Anolis sagrei: one gene and its partner. The protein of the gene in region 1 binds, or shares a complex with, the protein of each later gene. Links are inferred from orthologs where the notes say so. Each region holds a gene or a part of one and is shown on either strand. Other genes may lie near its edges.

The links. Proteins that work in one complex are often made in the same cells at the same time.
Region 2: WASHC1 (region 1) and WASHC3 share a complex: the UniProt entries of both Homo sapiens proteins name them as parts of the WASH core complex. The link is inferred for Anolis sagrei from reciprocal best matches to the Homo sapiens genes WASHC1 and WASHC3.

The regions. Positions count from the first base shown.
Region 1 is NC_090025.1:177,533,698-177,541,735, reverse strand, and holds the start of WASHC1 (WASH complex subunit 1), read left to right. Parts: upstream 1-4,992; 5' UTR 4,993-5,108; intron 5,109-8,038. UniProt on the Homo sapiens protein: Acts as a component of the WASH core complex that functions as a nucleation-promoting factor (NPF) at the surface of endosomes, where it recruits and activates the Arp2/3 complex to induce actin polymerization, playing a key role in the fission of tubules that serve as transport intermediates during endosome sorting.
Region 2 is NC_090025.1:171,511,049-171,519,009, forward strand, and holds the start of WASHC3 (WASH complex subunit 3), read left to right. Parts: upstream 1-4,940; 5' UTR 4,941-5,063; coding exon 5,064-5,114; intron 5,115-7,961. UniProt on the Homo sapiens protein: Acts as a component of the WASH core complex that functions as a nucleation-promoting factor (NPF) at the surface of endosomes, where it recruits and activates the Arp2/3 complex to induce actin polymerization, playing a key role in the fission of tubules that serve as transport intermediates during endosome sorting.

The DNA of each region.
Region 1 (8,038 bases):
TTCCATCTTCTTCTGGGCTATAGCATGATGGGCCTGCCTCTCCCTTCCTTTCTTTGAGACCGGGCAGTGGCAGTTGGATAGAGGTACGGCTTATCAACTGCTTCTGGGAATAGCTGTGATGGAACTATAGATGTCTCTCCATTCATGGCTATGGCAGTGGCAGCTGGGATGGAGGGAGGACCTTTCTTCTGCTTCTGCCTCTCCCTTTCTCTCTCTGAGGCCTCAGCAGAAGTTGGGATGGAAGAAGGACTTTTCATCTCTTTTTGGGCCAAAATACGATGGGATTGTGCTTGGCTCTTCTTATCTCCCTTGAGGCCAAGGCAGGAGAGTTGAGATAGAGGGAGAGACCATTCATCTCCTTTTGGGATAAGGCATGATGAAGATGTGCCTGTGGATTATCTTGGATCAGCGACTGCATATGAGCCTAGCCTCTTCCATAAAGATGAAAAAAATGTCAAGGAACCCTTTCTTAAGGTGCTTAGAGAGAAAAGGGCAGAATAAACAAGTAATAAATAAACCAAACTATTGCTGGATCTTTGCGCAGCAATTTAATATCAAGCCACAAATGACAGAACCTACAATAATATTATTAATAGAAAAATACTGAGGTTGCACACCATTCAACATTTCTCAGATGAAAATGGGATTTATGTGGCTGAATAACTTCAGATTGTGTCAAGCTAGTGAAAGGTAAGAAAAAGGAAGAACACACAAGCTAGGATCAACCTGTAATAGTTTGCCTTCCCTGAGTCTTCAGGGAAGGGCAGGATTCTGCCCACATCTCTCTTCTCCACCTGCTGAGTGAACTGAGAGTAAACTACTTTTCAATGTTGTATTCGGTTTGTAGCAAATGAAGAAAGTTGAAGGAAGGGAGAAGTAGAAAGAAACTGGGACGTTTTAAAAGATTCTGAAAAAATGAGATGACACAGGATTAATTTTAACTGTCCTTGCTAAATGGGGACAGTCGAGGGATATGAGACTGATTCGCATAAAAAAAACTTTTTTAGTGCATGTACAATGTAGAAATGGTGTGAATCTCAGTGTCTGTTTCACTGAGTATAAAACTTGTGGAAACCACATTTGGTTCCTATTTTTGCCACAGTTTGTGTAATGCCCTCTCACTTGGAGGACAGAGGACTGCTGGTGTTGACTTAAAAAATAAAACATTATTAAATGTATCTTTTCCAACATGTACATGTGCCCAATTTTAAACTGCTTTAATTTTTTAAACTGTTTTAAGTTGTTAAATTGTTTAACATGCTTCATGTTAATTTAAATTACCTTTTTGTTTTAAGTTCTGCACTGTTTCAAATGGCTTACATGGTTTTTCCTTGCACGCCAGCCTGAGGTTCAGTGATACAAGGCCAGATAAAATAGTTCAATAACACAAATAAAGAAGTACACGCACCTCTCTGATTTGTCCTTCTGGAATTATGGTGACCAGCCCTATATCAAAATAGAATAGATGAGTCATTGCAGTCTAATCCTACCAAAAATGGGATAAGCTTTGAGCCATGACATATATTTATTATCCACTACTACTTTGACATCTTTTTTTCAGATGCTGCCAAACTAATTATGGTTTGTTGTGTACTTATGCATCTTGTTATTTTTAAGTATAACACAAATCATCATTGATAAATTAAACCATGTAGCTATCGGTTCAGTGCTCCAGTTTAATGATATCATTCTGGGTTATACTTCAAATAACTCTTCCATAATGAAAAATGACCAGCTTCAAGTACAAATTGGCACTGCTCCACAAAGCAACCCTTTAATTCTTAGATCCCTACCATTTATAAAAGTTAAAGGTTTCCCCTGGCATTAAGTCTAATCACATTCGACTCGGGAGTTGGTGCTCATCTCCATTTCTAAGCCAAAGAGCTGGCATTGTCCGTAGACACCTCCAAGGTCATGTGGCCAGCATGACTGCAGGGAACACCATTATATGCCGGCAAGAGAAAGCTTAAACATAGGATTCACCAGGTCCATACATAAACTGTGAACTCATAGGCCCTGTCCACACTGCCATATAATTCAGTTTGAATTGCATTATATGGCAGTGAAGACAGCCATATTACACAGTTCAATTGCATTATATAGCAGTGTTGATGTGGCCATTGCTATCTCATAGCAGCAAAGACTAGTTAAACATTCAGGAAAAGCAATGAGTAACAAAGTACTTAAAATGCATTCTGAAATCAAACATAATCTCCAACATGTCACAGATGCAAACTGGGACAGATATGATCCAGAATATGTGGTCTAGATAGCAAAAGTTAATGAATAAATACAAATGAGCTAGGATAGGTTGCAGCAGTTTACTTTTGCCATTGCTCTTTCTGAGCTGGTCGCAAACTGCTTTTGGACTTTGCACTCCGTTTGTGGCCATTGAAGTAAGCTGAGGACAAAGGAGGGGAGTGGTTGTCTTGCTTGCATGCTGCAAGTTGCCTCTAGTCGCTTCTGGGGTGAGAGAATCAGCCGTCTACGAAGACGTTGCCCAGGGGACGCCCGGATGTCTTGCAATCCTGCGAGGAGGCTTCTCTCATGTCCCCCAGAAGGGGAGTGAAAGGAGGTGAGAAAAACTGGGACACTTTTAAAACAGCTGAAAACATATAAGGACAGAGGACTACATGGGACTCTCCTTGCCAAAGTGGAACAGTTGGAGAGCATAAACTAAAGCTGAAATGGATTACATCACTAAACACTGATATGTATCCTTTCTAGCAAAAAAAATCATCATATTATCTGTTGTCGAAGGCTTTCGTGGCCAGAATCATCGGGTTGCTGTGAGTTTTCTGGGCTATATGGCCATATTCCAGAAACATTGTCTCTTGACGTTTCACCCACATCTATGGCAGGCATCCTCTGAGGTTGTGAGGTCTGTTGGAAACTAGGCAAGTGAGATTTATATATTTGTGGAATGTCCAGGGTGGGAGAAAGAACTCTTGTCTGGGTTGATGTAGTTTTTTCCGGGCTATATGGCCATGTTCTAGTGGCATTTTCTCCTGACGTTTCGCCTGCATCTATGGCAAGCATCCTCAGAGGTAGTGAGGTCTGTTGGAATTAGGACAATGGGTTTATATATCTGTGGAATGACCAGGGTGGGACGAAGGACTTTTGTCTGCTGGAGTTAGGTTTGAATGTTTCAACTGACCACCTTGATTAGCATTTAATGGCTTGGAAGTGCCTGGGGGGATCTTTTGTTGAGTGGTGATTTGATGTGCCTGATTGTTTACTCTCTGTTGTTTTGCTGTTGTAATTTTAGAGTTTTTTAATACTGGTAGCCAGATTTTGTTCATTTTCATGGTTTCTTCCTTTCTGTTGAAATTGTCCACATGCTTGTGTATTTCAATGGCTTCTCTGTGTAGTCTGACATGGTGGTTGTGAGGGTGGTCCAGCACTTCTGTGTTCTCAAATAATATGCTGTGTCCAGGTTGGTTCATCAGGTGCTCTGCTATGGCTGACTTCTCTGGTTGGAGTAGTCTGCAGTGCCTTTCATGTTCCTTGATTCGTGTTTGGGCAGTGCTGCGTTTGGTGGTCCCTATGTAGACTTGTCCACAGCTGCATGGAATACGGTAGACTCCTGCAGAGGTGAGAGGATCCCTCTTGTCCTTTGCTGAACGTAGCATTTGTTGGATGTTCTTGGTGGGTCTGTAGGTGGTTTGTATGTTGTGTTTCCTCATCAGCTTCCCTATGCGGTCAGTGGTTCCCTTGATGTATAGCAAGAACACTTTTCTTCTGGGTGGATCTTCATCTTTACTCTTGTAGCTGATGGGAAGCTGATGAGGAAACACAACATACAAACCACCTACAGACCAAGAAAACCCAAAATCTGGCTACCAGTATTAAAAAACTGATTCTGGCCATGAAAGCCTTCGACAATACACTGAACTCTTGTCTGTTGGAGGCCGATGTGAATGTTGCAGTTGGCCAACTTGATTAACCTTGAATAGCCTTGCAGCTCCAAAACCTGCTGTCAAGCCAGGCATCCCCCATTCTGTATCTTCTATCTATCTATCTATCTATCTATCTATCTATGTATTGCTGATTAGATATCTTGGTATAAGCAAGACTTGACTCTGAAGAAGCTGGGGGTGGCGACGGCCAACAGGGAGCTCTGGCGTGGGCTGGTCCATGAGTTCATGAAGAGTTGGAAGCAACTAAACGATTAAACATCTTGCTATAACCAAGACTTGACTTGACTCTGAAGGAGCTGAGGGTGGCGACGGCCAACAGGGAGCTCTGGCGTGGGCTGGTCCATGAGTTCATGAAGAGTTGGAAGCAACTGAACGATTAAACATCTTGCTATAACCAAGACTTGACTCTGAAGGAGCTGGGGGTGGCGACGGCCAACAGGGAGCTCTGGCGTGGGCTGGTCCATGAGTTCATGAAGAGTTGGAAGCAACTGAACGATTAAACATATTGCTATAACCAAGACTTGACTCTGAAGGAGCTGGGGGTGGCGACGGCCATCAGGGAGCTCTGGCGTGGGCTGGTCCATGAGGTCATGAAGAGTCAGAAGCAACTGAACGATTAAACATCTTGCTATAAGCAAGACTTGACTTGACTCTGAAGGAGCTGGGGGTGGCGACGGCCAACAGGGAGCTCTGGCGTGGGCTGGTCCATGAGTTCATGAAGAGTTGGAAGCCACTGAACGAATAAACAACAACGAAAGGACAATCCTCGTTGGCATACACTGTGTTTCCAATTCCCAACCCCCAAACCAACCCTTTCTATAGTATTTTCTGGCATCTACAAATTGAAGAAGGGAGTTAAGAGTCCATTAAAGTTTTCACAACTCAGTAGAGGCAATCCTATTGTAGACTTCTCCAAGGACAAATCCCACTGAACTCAAAGCAGAGCTGAGTACATGTGAAACTCCCTACAACCAGCAAGCAACGGGCTGGCAACGAGTGGGGAATACGTTCCCTTTCTGAGCATAGGGAGGACCCGTAGGAAAGTGACGTCAAGCGAGGGCGGAAGTGGGCGTCATGCGGGAAGCTTTGCGGGCGGAAAGGGAGACGAGGTGTGGGCGGAAGTGCCGTTTCCTGGAGAGCGCCGTCGCCTTGGTTGCAAGGGGGGTTCGAGGTGCCGCCTCATTCCAGGTGAGAAGCAGGCGGGGATTCTTCCCTCTCTGACTTGGTTGCCTTCTTCCTTCCCAAAGGGAGAGCCGAGGCTTTCTTCTCCCTCAGAGCTTTGAGAAGAGGTGCATCTACACTGTAGAATGAATGCAGTTTGACACCACTTGAACTCCCATGGCTGAATGCTGTGGGGTCATGGGAATTGGAGTTTGGTGAGGCGCCAGCCCTCTTAGAGAAAGCAAAAGGCCTTGTAAAACTATTGCCACTTTTAACTGCTATGGCTCAAAGCTGTAGAGTTATGGGAGTTGTAGTTTTACAAGGTTTTTGGCCTTCTTTGGCAGAGAGTGCTGGTGCAGCACCAAACTTCAACTCCCCAAATTAACATGGCAGTTCAAGTGGTGTCAAACTGCATTAATATAGAGTGTAGATCAGTCATGAGCCAACTTGGGCCCTTTAGGTGTTTTGGACTTCAACTCCCACCATTCCTAACAGTCTCAGGCCTTTTCCTTTCCCCCCTCAGCCGCTTAAGGAAGAGGCCTGAGGCTGTTAGGAATGGCCACTTGGGAGTGCCTCTGGTGTTGCTGCAAAAAGGTCCTCCATAATGCATGTGACACTGGGCATGCATACTCAGCAGCAGAGTAGCATAGCGCAAGGGCAGATGTCTTCACTGTATCTGGTTGTGATCCCCAAGTTGTGCCAGTCAGCTTTCGTATGATATTATTTCAAGCACCCACTTTTTGCTTGATACTCAGGCAGTGCTTCTTGTAGGTCAGGGCATGGTCCAGAGTGACTCCCAGGTATTTGGGTGTGCTGCAATGCTCCAGTGGGATTCCTTCCCAGGTAATCCTCAGAGCTTGGGATGCTTGTCTGCTATTGAGGTGAAAAGCACATGTCTGTGTTTTAGATGGATTAGGGATCAGCTGGTTTTCCCTGTAATAGGCAGTAAGAGCACCTAGAGCTTCTGAGAGCCTTTGTTCAACCATTTCAAAGCTCCCTGCTTGAGCGGTAATGACACGATCATCTGCATAGATGAAACTCTCTGTCTCTTCTGGCAGTGGCTGGTCATTTGTGTAAATGATGAAGATTGATGGAGCAAGCACGCTCTATTGTTTCTAGTGATTTAATGTTATGTTTTATTTGGTTTGTATAATGAGACATTGAATTTTTGCTTAGATGCATGTTGTTAGTCACCTGCAGGTTGAGAAGGGCAGGATAGAAATGAATAATTTGTTTATTGCAGTGCTGACACATTAGCTATCAATTGGGGGGGGGGGGTGGCTGTAGATCTAATTTGTTATTCTGTATTGTTCTCACACCATGGTTGGGTTTGTGTGTTCATTCCTCTCCTTAGACAGGAAGCATTTCCTTCCATTGTCAGCTAACAGCAGTTTTGCATTGCGTCTTAACTTGACAAACTGCTTAGTTGTAATATCAACTTTACAAAACAAGCCAGAATTGGATTTCAGTTTCTGATGCTGTTGGTGTGTGTTAGTAAACTGTTGTTTTGATTCATTTGGAACGAGCCTGTAGTCATTTCGAATACTAACTGTGATTGGTTAAAAGGAGAATGCATGTTTCTGATCTTTTTGTGTCTATACTGGATTATGCAGGGAGATTTTAGTTTCACACCATCTGAGGATGCCTTCCATAGATGTGGGCAAAACACCAGAAGATAATGCTTCTGGAACATAGCCATACAGTCCAGAAAACTTGCAGCAACTCAAATTTTAGTTTGTTACATCCGAGCACTTCCAGAGAAGCTGTTTTGTAAAAAAAAAATAAAAAAAAAATACAGAACCCATGATAGGAAAGAAAGCTTGTGCAATAATAAGCCAATCAATTAATCATGAGTCATTAGTCCCGAGTTCAACTGAAAACATATCTCTTCATATAGGATCTGAGCATATTGTAAGCTACGCCTCTTAAAGTCTGTGAGCCACATATTCTGTGAGAGAGAGGAGGTCCATGGACTGGTGCCAGTCTATATCCTATCCACTGCTGGTTCACAGTTAATTTCCAAGAAAGAAAGGAGGAGGCGTTGTCATGTGGTGCCATGTGATGCTAGTCCCACACATTAAGCAATACAGAGAGCACTGCTATAGGATACTAGCACATTCCCTTATTTCAGAGGAATCCTAACACGAAGCCCTTAATGTAGATGCAAATTAACTCTATCAAATCTTTCTGTATCAGCTATTTTAAATACAAGGCACCTCACAATTACCCCTTAGTTAGTTGGGAATGCACGTCATGCAACTCTGTGTCAGGATTGTACTGTCCTTCTCTAATGGCTTATGTACTTGATTAATCCTTCTAAATGTATCCAATTGGAGTGGTTTGGAACCACTCCCAGCTGGTGCTGTTTACACCTTTGGCTCTGCCTTTCATCTGTGGTCACTATGTTGAATGTGTAAATTAGTTTCCTCTACAGTGGATAGGAAGTGCAAAAAATCATACACGTTTTATATTCTATTTTTTAAAAATTTTTTGTTAATATAGACGTATGTTGGTAGTACGCATCTGCATGAAATGTCTGCCTATTTTATGGTGACACTGAGGGACAGTGGCTTTTAAAAGTTGTAACATTGCTGTATTGCTGTGGGAAAGGAAAAGAAACACCCAGAAATTAACAGAAATAGCCTCATAGAGTAACCCAGTTGGGAATGTATTTGAATGATCTTTTGATTTGGAACCACTGTTTGCAAGGCACTGATTTTAAGGTCTTCTACAACTGAAGACCAGTTGCGCAGTGGGTTAAACCACTGAGCTGCTGAACTTGCTGACTGGTAAGATTGGCAGTTCGAATCTGGGGAGCGGGGTAAGCTCCTGCTGTTAAGCCCAGCTTCTGCCGACCTAGCAGTTCAGAAACATGCAAATGTGAGTAGATCAATAGGTACCACTTTGACGTGAAGGTAATGGCACTCCATGCAGTCATGCTAGCCACATGACCTTAG
Region 2 (7,961 bases), about 6.0 Mb from region 1:
CAAAGGGTTTTTATCACTATTTAATTCCATGCCAACAATAGCTGTACTTCTTTCCTTGAAAGGGGTAGTAATTTTTGCCCTTGAAAGGGATAGTAATTTTTGTTTGTGTATATCATGTTTGTTCATGTTCTTGGAAACATATGCTGACTCTAAATATGATGACCTTAAGGCAACCCTATCATGGGGTTGTCTCTGCAAGATTTGTTTAGAGTGGGTTTGCCTTTGGGCTAGTCAGAAAGGTTTCTCTGCAAAGGGGATGAGGAGCTGTGATGGAGCTTCTTTCCAGACTTGCCTCACAGTGCTAAACCTTAAGCTTACATTGGTCATCTTCACCATTTTACCGTCAATCAAGATCCCTCCTTGAACTAGGTACTTGGGCCTTAAGGTCATATTTATATGGAACAATATGTGTTCCATGAATTCACAGTGGTAAGTATAATCACATAGTCTATCTAAATTTGATAGTAACAGCCACAGTTGTTTAAAAAAGAGAATGAATTAGCAGAAGTTTATTAGGACATACTTAGATCGCGCAATAACTCCTGTAGTGTTCAATTATTCACAGCTCCCAATAACTCTATTCTGTTCTTCACCCTAGCTGACTGTCCTCCTCTATTACAGTTTTTCCCGGTCTCTCTGGGTGTATTTGCACTAGCACTTATGCAGTTGGGCACCACTTTAGCTGCCATGGATCAATGCTATGGAATCCTGGGAGTTGCAGTTTGGTGAGGCACCAGCACTGTTCTCAAAGAAAACTAAAGAGCTTTTAAAATAACGCCCTCCGTGATTCCACACAGCACGGAGCCATGGTAGTTAAAGGGACACTGAATCACATTAATTTTACTCCCTGAGCCACATATGAACTGAACATTTAGTGCAGCTTCAAACTGATATTGAAGAAAGTGCATACAAAATTTCAGAACCAGTTTAAGACCCAGATGGTGATTACAAAAGCCACACAGAACTGATGCACATTAAGGGGTTTTTCATGTGCTTTTGTGGCAGTTTGTTGCCTGGCCTCAGCAGTTGGAAGCTAGCTGTGTGTATGTGCTTGCATATAATTCATTTATTTATATCCCGTGTAGCGAAATGTCTAGGTTTTGGGGTATGTTTATTAATATTGGGATATATGGGCTGGTTAGTTAGGGGGTGGCTAGAAGCCCAGGCCATGGTGACATAACTCCCCAGGCAAGAGAGCAAGGGCCGGAGCCAACTGCCACTGAAAAAAAAGAATGTTGATTTGAAAAGGGTCAGTTGGTGGCTGGATGAGCCCAAAGGATGGTTGCTTATAATTATGTGGAACTAGACCAAACAGTTTAAGCTCTAACAGGTAGTCAGGGAAAGAAAGGCTGCACTAAGTAGTGAGCCAGGTATTTGTTCTCCAGTGTGGAGTAGTTAAGAGTAAAAGCCAAATCTGAAGTAACAGGAGTGAGACTGAGAATAGTTTATAAGTCTAAACTGCAGATACTAAAGAGACAGAAGAAAATCTGTTGTTAAAAGTGTAACAGTTATATGTTTTTGGAAGAGTCAAGAATTAAGTGTAACAATAATAAGATAATATGTAACCGCCAAGCATTGTGAACCTGAGAAATCTTCAAACAAATGTTTATATTCAGTTCAGATTCTGAGAATTCAGGTTTATTTATTTAAGAGAAGATTACTCAAAAGAAAAGAAGTTGCAGATTTTGTGAAGTCAAAGATAAACTGGTTGCATTGGATTACACATACTAAAGTGAAATAAACAGGTGTCTTAGAAATATCCCTCTCATATAAGCCTCACCCCCAAATAAACAAAGCCTCATCCTCTACATCAGTGTTTCTCAACCTTCCTAATGCTGCGACCCCTTAATACTGTTCCTTATGTTGTGGTGACCCCCAACCATGACATTATTTTCGTTGTTACTTCACAACTGTAATTGTGCTCCTATTATGAATCCTAATGTAAACATCCGATATGCAGGATATATTTGCATTCACGGGACCAAACTGGGCACAAATATACAATAATACAACCAAATTTGAATACTGGTGGGATTGTGGAGAGGATTGATTTTGTCATTTGGGAGTTGTAGTTGCTGGGATAGTTCACCTCCAATCAAAGAGCATTCTGAAATCCACCAACAACAGAATTGAACCAGATTTGGAACACACACCTCCCATGAACAACAGAAAATATGGGAAGGGTTTGCTGGGCATTGACCTTGAGTTTTGGAGTTGTAGTTCATCTACATCTAGAGAGCACTGTGCACTCAAACAATGATGGATCTGGACCAAACTTGACACAAATACTCAATATGCCCAAATGTGAATACTGGTGGAGTTTGGGGAATATAGACCTTTACATTTGGGAGTTGTAGTTGTTGGGATTTATAGTTCACCTACAATCAGAGTATTCTGTTCTCCACCAAGGACAGAATTGGGCCAAACTTCCCACACAGAACTCCCATGACCAACAGAAAATACTATGTTTTCTAATGGTTTTTGGCGACCCCTCTGACACTCTCTCGCGACCCACAGAGGGGTCCCGACCCCCAGGTTGAGAAACACTGCTCTACATAATTGGTGGCAGCTTCATGAGTTACAGAGATACTTTCATTTCATCCCACTTTATCTCTCCAGATGGGAGACTCAAAGCAACTCACAATCAAAAATATTACAAAAATATACAAAAATAAAACTGTATCATTATATATTGTTTTATATTATCAGTAGTAATTATAATTAATATATTGTTATTATATGCCTTCCCAGAACAAGGACTCCCAAGCAATATGTTCCAAATGCACTTTATGAGAGAGTTAGTACTGTCTGCACGCCCACCTATCTTTAAAATATCCAACCTATTTCCCTGGACATGCCCAGCATTTTAAAATTTTAATTCTTACATTTGGCCCTACCACAGGTTTTTAATTGTGTCGTGTCATTATTGTATTGTTTTGCTTTGTTATGAGTTATTTATTGTTGTATTGTTGTTGTGTTTTGTGATGTATTTGGGCTTGGCCTCTTGTAAGCCGCACCGAGTCCTGCGGGAAATGGTCACGGGGTATAAATAAAGGTTTATTATTATTATTATTATTATTATTATTATTATTACTACTATATTACAATATATGATATTGTATTAGGAGTATATTACATTGTATTATATTATTATATAAAATATATTATATTATTAGCATTGCACATTAGTATTATATACTGCCATATGGTACTATACCACTATACTGCAATATTATTAGTATACCACAATATATATAATATGTGCTGTCGCATGCTGGGCCTGAAATAATGTCTGTTTACAGGACGTGCCTTCTGTATGCTCAACGGGACGCCGGGGTGCCTCAGCTGAAGGGTCCCTTAAATTTCCCAACACAAAGTTCTATTGAGGTTATAGACATCAATGCTAGGCTGTAGATCTGCCAAGCTGAAAGGTGTCCTTTAGTTTCTACACGAAGGCTGTAGGAACTGTCCTGTTGCCCCAGCAAAGGCTGGCTGTATTCCTTCAGCAAAAGCTGTGGAACCTTTCCTTTTCCCCCAGCAGAGCTGTGGATCTATTTCTTTACTCCCCAGCAAAAGCTGTGGAACCTTTCTTTTTCCCCCAGCAAAGCTGTGAGAAGTGAAGCTTTTGTGCAGGTGGGAAAAAGAATCCCACACGTTCTGCTTTTAGGCTTCAAACAGTGAGACTGAACAAAATCCCCCCTTCCCTCCAAAACCATGGGAAAAGGGGCGGGTCTAAAGATTAACAATGATTTTTCAGGTTGCTGGCCCTATGATTGCAACCTGAGGGAAGCTACCTTATTGCAAAATGCATGGCTTAAATAAATTCATGCAAACTAGCAGTGCAAGAAAAGGAATTCAAATCTCCTGGCACTGTTGTGCCAGCACATAATACACTACCATTATTATACTATTAGTATTATATATTGTTCTCTCTCAATCTCACACACACATATACATACGCCCGTATGTATACACACAAATTTATTTATTTATTTGCTTTACTTCTATACCGCCTTTCTCAGCCGAAATGGCGACTCAAGGCGGTTTACATAGTAAAGGTTAACACAACAACATCAAAAAGGCAATTAAAAACACATTATACAAACATATCAAGTCAAAAACAATCATTATCATAGACGTCTGCATTAGTTGTTCACACACTATTTGTTGTTCACACACAGACAGGCACACACTGAAATATAATTATGGGTAACTATATGCATATAGTACATGTTGTTGTTCATTCGTTCAGTTGTCTCCGACTCTTCGTGACCTCATGGACCAGCCCACGCCAGAGCTCCCTGTCGGCCGTCACCACCCCCAGCTCCTTCAAGGTCAGTCCAGTCACTTCAAGGATGCCATCCATCCATCTTGCCCTTGGTCGGCCCCTCTTCCTTTTTCCTTCCACTTTCCCCAGCATAATAGTCTTCTCTAGGCTTTGCTGCATATAGTACATAATTATGTTTAATTGGGATATACTGTGTGTATGTGTACACACACACACACACACAAATTTGGAATATTCAAACACAAAAATATATTTCCAAAGAATACAAATATTCACTGACATCCCCATATAAGTTCATATACAGATAGGTACACACTGAAATATAATTAAAGTAACTCAGGCCCCTTCCACACAGCTGAATAAAATCCCACATTTTCTGCTTTGGACTGGAATATATGGCAGTGTGGACTCAGATAACCCAGTTCAAAGCAGATACTGTGGGATTTTCTGCCTTGATATTCTGGGTTATGTGGACATGCCCTCAGGCACAACTCCAGAGCGCGTTCTGCAGATCACCTCAAGGAAAACGAGGCAGATGGAATCCATATGTATTTGAAAACTACTTTCCTAGAGACTTCCGGGTGTCAGAACTACAGTCCCCATGATGCAACGCGGCTCAGAGAGCGGCGGCTTCCGGTCTCGCAGCCCAAGCGCCTGAAATGCCGATGAGCCGGGTCAGGGTGGAGGGTGATCTCGCGATCGCTTCCGGGAAGAGGCTCTTTCGCTTCTCGAGGCGCTCTTCCGCTGGAGGAGGGGCCGATGAGCGCCTGCGGGGATGGACGAGGACGGGCTGCCACTCGTGGGTTCGGGCATCGACCTCACCAAGGTACCGGCGGCTGCAGGGCCCTGGTTGGCCTCTCAAGCCAGGCCTCGCCTTCCCCAGTGATGGATGGGCTCCGGGACTAAGCCAGGCAGGGTCTCAACCAGGCCTGGGCCAACTGGGGCCTTCCAGTAGGCTGTTAGGAATTGTGGGAGTTGAAGTCCAAAACACCTGGGGGGCCCAAGTTAGGCCAAGGCCTGGTCTATCATGTCAGTTGCCCTTCCTGTCTTTCTCTTTCTCCACTTGTTCATATTCCTTTCCTTCAGAGTCACTTTGATCTCATGTTTGTGTATTGTTTACAAGTGTTATGGCAGAAACACAATGCCCCATATTTATTGCAGGCTGCATTTTATCTTGTTGATACAGGCCTGAGCAAACTTCGGCCCTCCAGGTGTTTTGGACTTGAACTCCCACAATTTCTAACATCCTACTGGAGGGCCCAAGTTGGCCCAGGCCTGCTCTATCAAGTCAGTTTCCCTTCCCTTCTTTCTCCTTCTCATATTCCTTTCTTTCAGAGTCACATTGATCTTATGTTTGTGTATTGTTTACAAGTGTTATGGCAGAAATACAATGCCCCATATTTATTACAGGCTGCAGTTTATCTTGTCGATACAGGCCTGAGCAAACTTGGGCCCTCCAGGTGTTTTGGACTTCAACTCCCACAATTTCTAACATCCTACTGAAGGGCCCAAGTTGTCCCAGGCCTGGTCTATCAAGTCAATTTCCCTTCCCGTCTTTCTCCTTCTCATATTCCTTTCTTTCAGAGTCACATTGATCTCATGTTTGTGTATTGTTTACAAGTGTTATGGCAGAAACACAATGCCCCATGTTTATTGTAGGCTGCATTTTATCTTGTTGATATAGGCCTGAGCAAACTTGGGCCCTCCAGGTGTTTTGGACTTCAACTCCCACAATTTCTAACATCCTACTGGAGGGCCCAAGTTGGCCCAGGCCTGGTCTATCAAGTCAGTTTCCCTTCCCTTCTTTCTCCTCCTCATATTCCTTTATTTCAGAGTCACATTGATCTCATGTGTGTGTATTGTTTACAAGTGTTGTGGCAGAAACACAATGCCCCATATTTTATTGCAGGCTGCATTTTATCTTGTAGGTACAGGCATGGGCAAACTGGGGACCTCAAGAGAGATATTGACAAGCTGGAATGTGTCCAGAGGAGGGCGACTAAAATGATCAAGGGTCTGGAGAACAAGCCCTATGAGGAGCGGCTTAAGGAGCTGGGCATGTTTAGCCTGAAGAAGAAAAGGCTGCGAGGAGATATGATAGCTATGTATAAATATGTGAGAGGAAGACACAGGGAGGAGGGAGCAAGCTTGTTTTGTGCTTCCTTGGAGACTAGGACGTGGACAATGGCTTCAAACTACAAGAGAAGAAATTCCATCTGAACACGAGGAAGAACTTCCTGACTGTGAGAGCTGTTCAGCAGTGGAACTCTCTGCCCCAGAGTGTGGTGGAGGCTCCTTCTTTGGAAGCTTTTAAACAGAGGCTGGATGGCCATCTGTCAGGGGTGATTTGATTGCAGCATTCCTGCTTCTTGGCAGGGGGTTGGACTGGATGGCCCATGAGGTCTCTTCCAACTCTTTGATTCTATGATTCTAGGTGTTTTGGATTTCAGCTCCCACAATTCCTAACAGCCAGTAGGAAGTTGAAGTCTAAAACACCTAGAGAGCCCAAGTTTGCTATGTTATTACAGGTTTAGCATTCATTATCCTGAAATCCCAAATACTCCAAAGTCTTGTCGAAGGCTTTCATGGCTGGAATCACTGGGTTGTATGTGCTTGGCTAAAAACTGTCAGGCCATCAAATGCTAATCAAGGTGGCCAATTTGAACATTCACATCTACCTCCAACAGACAAGAGTTTTTTCTCCCACCCTGGACCTTCCATAGATATATAAACCCAATGTTCCTAGTTTCCAACAAACCTCACAACCTCTGAGGATGCTTTCCACAGATGCAGGCAAAATGTCAGGAGAGAACATGGCCATACAGCCCGAAAAACCTACAACAATCCACTCCAAAGTCCTTCGGCTGGGAAAGTGACACCTTTCCTTTCATAGAATTTGGGCCATCCAGTCCAACCCCCTGCCAAGAAGCAGGAAAATTGCATTCAAAGCACCCCTCACAGATGGCCATCCAGCCCCTGTTTGAAAGCTTCCAAAGAAGGAGCCTCCACCACACTTCGGGGCAGAGAGTTCCACTGCTGAACGGCTCTCACAGTCAGGAAGTTCTTCCTCATGTTCTGATGGAATCTCCTTTCTTGTAGTTTGAAGCCATTGTTCCGCTTCCTAGTCTCCAGGGCAGCAGAAAACAAGCTTGCTCCCACCTCCCTATGACTTCCTCAAATATTTATACATGGCTATCATGTCTCCTCTCAGCCTTCTCTTCTTCAGGCTAAACATTCCTGAAGAAGATGGTTCTTGATGGTTCAGTGTACACAAACTGTTTCATGCACCAAATTATTAAAAAAAAATGCATAAAATTACCTTCAGAATATGTGTATATAAAATATAAATGCATTTCTGTTTATACTTGGATTTGGTCTGAAAGGTGTTTCCTTCTGCTATGTGTGCATATACAAATAATAATAATAACTTTATTTGTTTCCCACCCCATCTCCCCAGAGGGACTTGGGGCGGCTTACAAGACAACAACTATACAAACACGAGCAGCATAGAATGTACAACAAAAATCAAAACAGTACAAATGTTTGCCAAAAGAAATAAAAAAAACCATAACAATTGAAGTTTAACATAAAACATGTAAAATCAAAATAAAATAAGCAGTAAGCATAGCCAAAGATTTAAAGTTTGAAACCATAGTATCCAAGTACAGGCATT